Linked DNA regions of Macaca fascicularis. Each later gene encodes a partner of the first gene's protein in a complex. Links are inferred from orthologs where the notes say so. Each region holds a gene or a part of one and is shown in the gene's direction. Other genes may lie near its edges.

Region 1 (4,360 bases):
TCGCCTTTTCACGTTTTTCTGCCCGCTTTATTTTCGCTGGTACCTGATTAGATTGTTCCCACCAGATTGAGGGTGGGTCTGTCTTCCCCAGTCCACTGACTCAACTGTTTGACAACAAACAGTTGTCAACAGTTTGGCAACACCCTCACAGACACACCCAGGATCAATACTTTGCATCCTTCAATCCAATCAAGTTGATATTCAGAATTAACCATCACAGATAGTATTGTGGGTTTTTAAATATATAAATACAAATGTTCATCTCCAGATCCATCTCCTGTGCCCTGTATTGGTACACCAAAGTGCACCATCAACAATGGCCAAATATCTTAAATATGAAATAAAATAGATAACACTATTGTATACTAGCAATTATCTTAAACGTATCTTGTGAATCAACTAATTCAATTCTTACAACTACTGCATGAATGGGTACTACTAGTATTTCCATTTAACAGATCAGGAAACGGCCACAGAATGTGAAGTTACTTGCCCCAATCATCCATAAATAATCAAAGGACTCAAGATTCAAACGTAAGTAGTCCAACTGCAGTGTTTTTATTCTTAATTCTCACACTTTGCCTCCAGAAAGGAGTGGAAGCACAGCACCCTAAAACTGTAATAGAGAAGTGTGTGGAGAAATCAGGCCTGGTTTATGAAAGATTTGATAACATAAAGATATTCTTGTTTTAGAAAGAGAGTTTCCAAAATAGTAAGTAGTTGAACTTTTACGTTTTGTTACTAGTGAAAAGTGAAGTTTAAAGAAACAATTTGTTTGATGCCCTAGTTCTGCATGCTGTACAAACTGCTACTTCCTACTCAGCCAGGCAATCTCCTTATTCTCAGGTCATACCAGTTGGTACCTTACCTTAAAAGACAGGCAACATAGTCTCTACAGAATTATTTTTTCCTCATTATTTCACTCTATTTATGATCTAATATTCTCCCATTCTCTTGGCTTGGATGTCTTGGAATTTATTAGGCACTTGACTCTTGGTCAAACTCTTATAAAAAAAAGTCTCAAGAAAATCTCTCACTTAAGATTTTCAAGGAAAGTGACAACTGACTACTAAAAAAAAAAAAAAATTCCCAAAATGCAGTGAAATACTTTTAGATTAAAGTAAATTTGCCTAGACCCTAAACACTGCTAGGCTGCCAGTCAGCAGCGTGGATGTTAACTCGCTGGCGCGCATCTGTATGAACTACAATTCCCATCGTACACCGCGCCATTTCACCGCTAAACTACAATTATGCTTTCGTCATTTCCGTCAGCACAGGTGCTGGATTTCGGACTTTGTAGTTCATGCCAACTTCTTTTTAGTCGCCATTTTGATAAGAATACAGTGTGCCTGGATCGACTGCTTTGACTCTGGCATTATGATATGGTATCTGAAATAAATTAAAAGGATAACGCGTCAAGCCAATTGAGCGTCAAGTTTTTATGTATTTCAGTATCTGCCTTGTTCCTACTGTCGGTGCTCGGGAAGAGGAAGTGACGTACATCCGGTGTAATGGCGGCGCGGTGCAGCTTTAGGTAATTATCGAACTCCGCGGAGTCCCCGTAGGCACCGAAGCGGAGCGGGGGTGGCGGGTTGTCGGGTCGGGTGGGAAGTGAAAGACCCTGAGGAGTGGGTGCGGGCTCACTGATACGGCTGTGAGCGGCATTGGAGTGTGCGTGGGTCTTCCCGCCACGCTCGGGCCCGCGAGAGGGGTGTGAGAGTGGCTGGGTCCGAGGAGTCCAAGCGGGTGGGGAGCGAATGGGCTGCGGTGAACTGACTGACTGCCTGAGCGGACCGGCTGACCTTCCTTGTGAGGTTCCTGCAGCTGTCTGAAGTCCTGCACCAACGCTGGTGCTCTGTTGTTTCGTGTGCGGTGTGTTTTATACTTAGAGCCTCTGGAGTCCATTGGGCTTGCCAAAGCCCCTTTCCCAGTGCCTGGGGAGTGGGATTAATGAGCTCTAGTTGATTAAAAGTTAGTTGAAGTACTTGCACTCTTATGCCTCTTTCCGGCGTTATATCCCTTTGGCTATTTGTTTTACGTTTCATTAGCGGTTTCTTTTTCATTTATTTGCCCTGTAAATACTGATAGTTTCTAGAGTTTAGTTTTGAAGACGCTTCGCTTCTCTTGTGTCCTCTTCACCTGTCATTCTTGATCCTTACATAACTTGAACTATCTCCAATGAGGTAATAACTGCTAAACTTGGGTGTCCAGACTCCACCTCTCTAAGGAGCTTTGGGTCCTGTAACACAGCATTATAGAACGGAAATATAATCGTTAATTTCACTGAGTTTAACTGCAAAAACTACCATACCTATTTCCACTTAATCCTAACAATTCTTTTGAGGTAATTGGAGAAGGCAGGATTTGGAGAAAGGCTATTCTAGATGCAAGAATTAGGTAAGAGTTTCCTTTGCATTTTTGGATGTGCAGAGACTCGAAATAGCAGATAAACAAACAAATTGGGTCCTCAGCAGATCAGTTAACCTACCTCTTATCCGTATTTAGACTTATCTTGTTGTAGGATTGCTTGTGAATTCAGGAGTTAACACAGATTATCCTACTATGCAAGGGCAGATTTAAAATTGACATTAAAAGTGTGGTTTTGACCAGGAGAGGAGAAGCCTTGTTACAGGCCTTATCAGTAGGTTGAGGAAAGCTACTTTTGTTGGTCCTGGGTGATGGACTAGTAGACCAAAGATTTCAGTTTTATTTAGCTATTATTAGGTCTGTCACTTGGAGCAAGTTAAAGTCTCTATTATATATAGTCAGCTTCATCATCTGAAAACATGTAGGTAATAATACAATACCTGCCTCACTGTGTTGTCTTTTTTTGAGTATAAAGAAAATAATGCAGATGAGGCACTGAGCACAGTGCCTGATATACAGTGTTAGCTTTGTATTATTGTAAATTGCTACTATGATACAGTTGATGAGTTCTGTCTGTGCCTCAGTTCTTGCCCTCTGGGTCTGAGTGTTGCCTTTCCACCTTTAAGTGTCCTTCCAGGTTTTTTTTTTTTTTGAGACGGAGTCTCACTCTGTCGCCCAGGCTGGAGTGCAGTGGCGGATCTTGGCTCGCTGCAAGCTCCGCCTTTCGAGTTCACGCCATTCTCCTGCCTCAGCCTCCCGAGTAGCTGGGACTACAGGCGCCAGCCACTACGCCCTGCTAATTTTTTTTATTTTTAGTAGAGACGGGGTTTCACCATGTTAGCCAGGATGGTGTCTATCTCCTGACCTCGTGATCCACCCACCTCAGCCTCCCAAAGTGCTGGGATTACAGGGTGAGCCGCTGCGCTCGGCCAGTGCCCTTCTAGTTTTAAGTGTCCATGCCACTTTTATGGAGTCTTACCCAACTCAATTGACTGGGGCTCTGAGACCGTCTTGGTTATAAGTTAAAGGCCAAGAACTTTGATCTAATACCCTGGTCTAGTGGTTCCAAAAATGTGGTCTCCTGAATCAGCAACATCTCTTTGAAGCTTATTAGCAATGTAAATTACTGGGCTTCACCCAGTTCTGTTGAATCAGAAACGTAGAAATGCAGGCCCAACAGTTTTGTTTTTTTTTTTGGGTTTTTTTGCGCCAAAGCGTTCGAGTGATTCTCATGCCAGTTAGTTTGAAAACTTCTGCTCTAGCCCATCTTTTAGGGGCATGCTATGGTTCATCCTCCCCCTGTCCTCAGAATCAGGTTTGTTTCCCTCCTTGCTCCAAAGTACTTGATCCATGGCCAGCCAGTATTTATTATTATGCCACCACATCCTTCCCTGCTTTGGATAGATTACCTCCAATCACTTTTTGGAGTTCTGACACTTCCTAGACTACCTGGTTTTTCTAAGCGAGCTTTCTTAGCTCTATTAGCTTTCCCAGCTGTTGAATTTTTAGAAGTTAATTCTTCTGTTGGGGCGCGATGGCTCATGCCTGCATTCCCAGCACTTTGGGAGGCCACGGCAGGCGGATCACTTGAGATCAGCAGTTCGAGACCAGCCTGGCCAACATGGTGAAACCCTGTCTCTACTAAAAATACAAAAATATGTAGCAGGGTGTGGTGCTGTGCATTTGTAGCCCCAGCTACTCGGGTGGCTGAGGCAGGAGAATCACTTGAACCTGGAGGCGGAGGTTGCGGTGAGCCGAGATCACTCCACTGCACTCCAGCTTGGGTGATAAAGTGAGCCTCTGTCTCAAGAAAAAGAAGAAGAAAAAGAAAAGAAGTTAACTCTCCTTCCCCATGATTGAACATTGTTGAATGACCTACAGTGGCTTGTACCTGAGACCACCCAGAAGACAGCACGGTGACACATTTTGTATTTCAAATGCCCATGCCTTAACTTGAATAATAATTTCAGTTTATTGTCCACCTGTATTTAGA
Region 2 (3,559 bases), on another chromosome or scaffold:
TCCCAGCACTTTGGGAGGCCGAGGCGGGCGGATCACCTGAGGCCAGTAGTTTAAGACCAGCCTGGCCAACATGGTGAAACCATGTCTCTACTAAAAATATAAAAATTAGCCAGGCATGGTGGTGGGCACCTGTAATTCCAGCTACTTGGGTGGCTGAGGCACGAGAATCGCTTGAACCCGGGAGGCAGACGTTGCAGTGAGCCAAGATCGCGCCACTGCACTGCAACCTGGGTGACAGCGAGACTCCGTCTCAAAGGGAAAAAAAAAAAAGACTTTTGGGATGAATGAGAACGCGACAGACCCCAGCTGTGAGCCTTCAAAAAGCCCTCAGAGGGCAGAGCCAGAGAGGCTGAAAGGAATACAGTGGAAGATACTGGGTGGGTCCCAGCACTGGTGGCACGGAGCACCCCAGGGTGGTGCAGGCAGGCACAGCCCACATACCCTGCTGGTGAGAGACAGGACCTAACCCCCGCTGCATCGAACATGCACCCCCCCAGCCACGCAGGGACATGATCCTGAGCCCACCGAGTCTGACCACCCCCAAGGCCACCAGACAAGTGTCCACAGATGTCACGTCTACAATGGGGCAGACCTGCGCTCTGACCTGCAAGTGGTTCTCTCTGGCTGATTTCTAACACAGTGAAGGAAACTAGAAGCAGAATTAAACTCAGATACGAGGAAAGTAAAAGAACCATCCCGAGGCAAGCTCCTCCTGGAAATTTTTTTTTTTTTTTTTTTTTTTTGAGGCGGAGTCTCGCTCTGTCGCCCAGGCTGGAGTGCAGTGGCGCGATCTCGGCTCACTGCAAGCTCCGCCTCCCGGGTTCCCGCCATTCTCCTGCCTCAGCCTCCCGAGTAGCTGGGACTACAGGCGCCGCCACCACGCCCGGCTAATTTTTTTGTATTTTTAGTGGAGACGGGGTTTCATTGTGTTAGCCAGGATGGTCTCGATCTCCTGACCTCGTGATCCGCCCGTCTCGGCCTCCCAAAGTGCTGGGATTACAGGCTTGAGCCACCATGCCCGGCTTTTTTTTTTTTTTTGAGACAGAGTCTCGCTCTGCCGCCCAGGCTGGAGTGCAGTGGCGTGATCTTGGCTCACTGCAAGCTCTGCCTCCTGGGTTTACGCCATTCTCCTGCCTCAGCCTCCCGAGTAGCTGGGACTACAGGCGCCCGCCACCTCGCCCGGCTAGTTTTTTTGTATTTTTTAGTAGAGACGGGGTTTCACTGTGTCAGCCAGGATGGTCTCGATCTCCTGACCTCGTGATCCGCCTGTCTCGGCCTCCCAAAGTGCTGGGATTACAGGCTTGAGCCACCGCGCCCGGCCGGAAATTTTTTTTTTTAAGACGGCGACTCGCTCTGTCACCCAGGCTGGAGTGCAGTGGTGCCATCTCAACTCACTGCAACCTCTGCCTCCAGGGTTCACGCTATTGCCCCAGCTGTTCTTCAACTCCTGGACTCAAGCGGTCTTCCTGCCTCGGCCTGCCAAAGTGCTGGGATTACAGGCGTGAGCCACTGTGTCTGGATGACCTGAGCATTTTCTTTGTCCATGTTTATGTTACCCACGTTTCTGAATCCCTTGATTTCTGCTCTGGCTTTGTTGCCTCCTTTCTCCTCAGTCCTTCGACAGGTCCCTTGATGGCACGGGGCTGGCTCTGGTTTTCCAGGTGTCACCTTGTCCCAGCCACCTCCCACAGACCTGCATGACCAGGCTGGCTCTGGGCACAGGGACTCCCTGACAGGCACTGGGCAGCAGCCGGGGCAGCAGGAGGACCTGGGGACAGCTGGAGGTCCGGGGTTCCCTGGGCAGCCTTGGGGAGCTGATGACCTGCCCTGGTGGGCAGCAGCAGGGAGCCCCATGCACCCACGTGTCCACGGAAGCCGCAGGTTCCCAGAGCCGACTGTAGAGGGTGGGCAGCTCCTGGTGTGCTCTCAGGCAGGCCAGATGCAGAAGGTGCCATGCTCTCCCTAACCATCCAACCCTCCTCCCCAGCTTCATCACGTTTCGCTCCTGTGCCTACCTGGATAAGAAGCACACCATCTTTGGACGGTAAGGGAAGCGGCTGTGTGAAGCCTGGGGGTCAGTGGGCTAGGTGGGGTCCTTCCCCACCTGAGGCCTCCTCGCTGCCTTCTCTGTGGACCTGAGCCATGTGCCGTGCTGGCTGTCACTGCTGGGGGTTGAGGCTATGCAGAGCTGGGACAGAGGGTGCTCCCTGTGCCAGGGAAGTCTGGCTCTCCAGACCCACCGGGCTCAGGAGAGGAGGAAACACCCCTGCGTGGCCTGGCCGCTGCCCTGTCTCAGACCTGATGGCGCGCCACTCACAAGCCTGGCCACGCCCAGCTCCCTTCACCCTCTAGTCCAGGGGTCTTTCCAGCATTGTGGGCCGCGTGGTCTCTTGACGCCCACCCAACTGTGTGGAAGCAGCACAAAACAAGGTGGATGCAGGTGATGTGGTTCTGGCCAAGTGGAACTCTGTTACCAAACCAGTGGGGACAGCACAAGCCACATTTGTGACTCCTATTTTTCCTGTGGGTGGGGAACCAAAAGAGAACCAGAAAAAAAACCCAGCTGGATATGCCCAGGGCCATGGTCTGCTGACCCCGCCCTTGCCACGCCCTCTCATCGCCTTCCTGGCTGCTGCCCGAGGACCACCAGGCCAGCCTCGGGGCTCTCAACCCCTCTTCCCACATGCCTTGGTGCCCGGCCCTGAGGGTGCCCTCCTTGAGCACATGCAGACCCGCCTCTGTCTCCCTGCTGCAGTGTTGTTGGGGGCTTTGACGTACTGACAGCCATGGAGAATGTGGAGAGTGACCCCAAAACTGACCGCCCTAAGGTCTGTGCCCAGGGAGGTGGGGCGTGGCGGCTGGGGGCCAGGCAGGCGGGGGGAGGACCTGCCGTGCACTGAGTCCCCTCTGCTGCTAGGAGGAGATCCGCATCGATGCCACTACAGTGTTCGTGGACCCCTATGAGGAGGCTGATGCCCAGGTGAGGGGGCACGATGCCACCACCAGGAGGGTCTGGGCCAGCGCACCTTCCCACCCCAAGCCTAGCATCTGTCCTGCCCGAGGTGCTGCTGGTCAGCCTCCACCCTCTTGTGCCACAGATCGCCCAGGAGCGGAAGACACAGCTCGAGGCAGCCCCGGAGACCAAAGTGAAGAGCAGCCAGCCCGAGGCAGGGAGCCAGGGCCCCCAGACCTTCCGCCAGGGCGTGGGCAAGTACATCAACCCAGCAGCCACGTGAGTGCCGCGCGGTTGGCCTCTCTGTTTCCCATGGTGTTTCCTAGGGCTGACTGAGGTCTGAGGGTCAGATCCAGAGGGGCAAGAAAGCCACGGGCACTGGACCTGGGCATGGGCTTGTGCTGTGTGGCCTCTGCAGCCGAGGGACTACCTCTGAAGGCCTGGCCGGGGCCTCTGTGGGTGGAAGCCATCGAATTCAGGGGGACGTGGGAGCAGCAGGTGGGAGGGGTTGGTCCTATACCGGGAGGGCCGTATGGAGATACAGACAAGTCAGGAGGGGCCGAGGGAGGGCGTGGACTCCCAGCGGCTTCTTCTCTTCCCAGGAAG

Evidence for each region. The genes of interacting proteins can lie anywhere in the genome.
Region 2: CWC22 (region 1) and PPIL2 share a complex: the UniProt entries of both Homo sapiens proteins name them as parts of the minor spliceosome. The link is inferred for Macaca fascicularis from reciprocal best matches to the Homo sapiens genes CWC22 and PPIL2.

Annotation. Positions count from the first base shown.
Region 1 is NC_088386.1:75,564,201-75,568,560, reverse strand, and holds the start of CWC22 (pre-mRNA-splicing factor CWC22 homolog), read left to right. Parts: upstream 1-1,494; 5' UTR 1,495-1,534; intron 1,535-4,360. UniProt on the Homo sapiens protein: Required for pre-mRNA splicing as component of the spliceosome. As a component of the minor spliceosome, involved in the splicing of U12-type introns in pre-mRNAs. Promotes exon-junction complex (EJC) assembly.
Region 2 is NC_088384.1:31,438,554-31,442,112, reverse strand, and holds part of PPIL2 (RING-type E3 ubiquitin-protein ligase PPIL2), read left to right. Parts: intron 1-1,987; coding exon 1,988-2,044; intron 2,045-2,755; coding exon 2,756-2,828; intron 2,829-2,917; coding exon 2,918-2,980; intron 2,981-3,098; coding exon 3,099-3,232; intron 3,233-3,555; coding exon 3,556-3,559. UniProt on the Homo sapiens protein: Has a ubiquitin-protein ligase activity acting as an E3 ubiquitin protein ligase or as an ubiquitin-ubiquitin ligase promoting elongation of ubiquitin chains on substrates.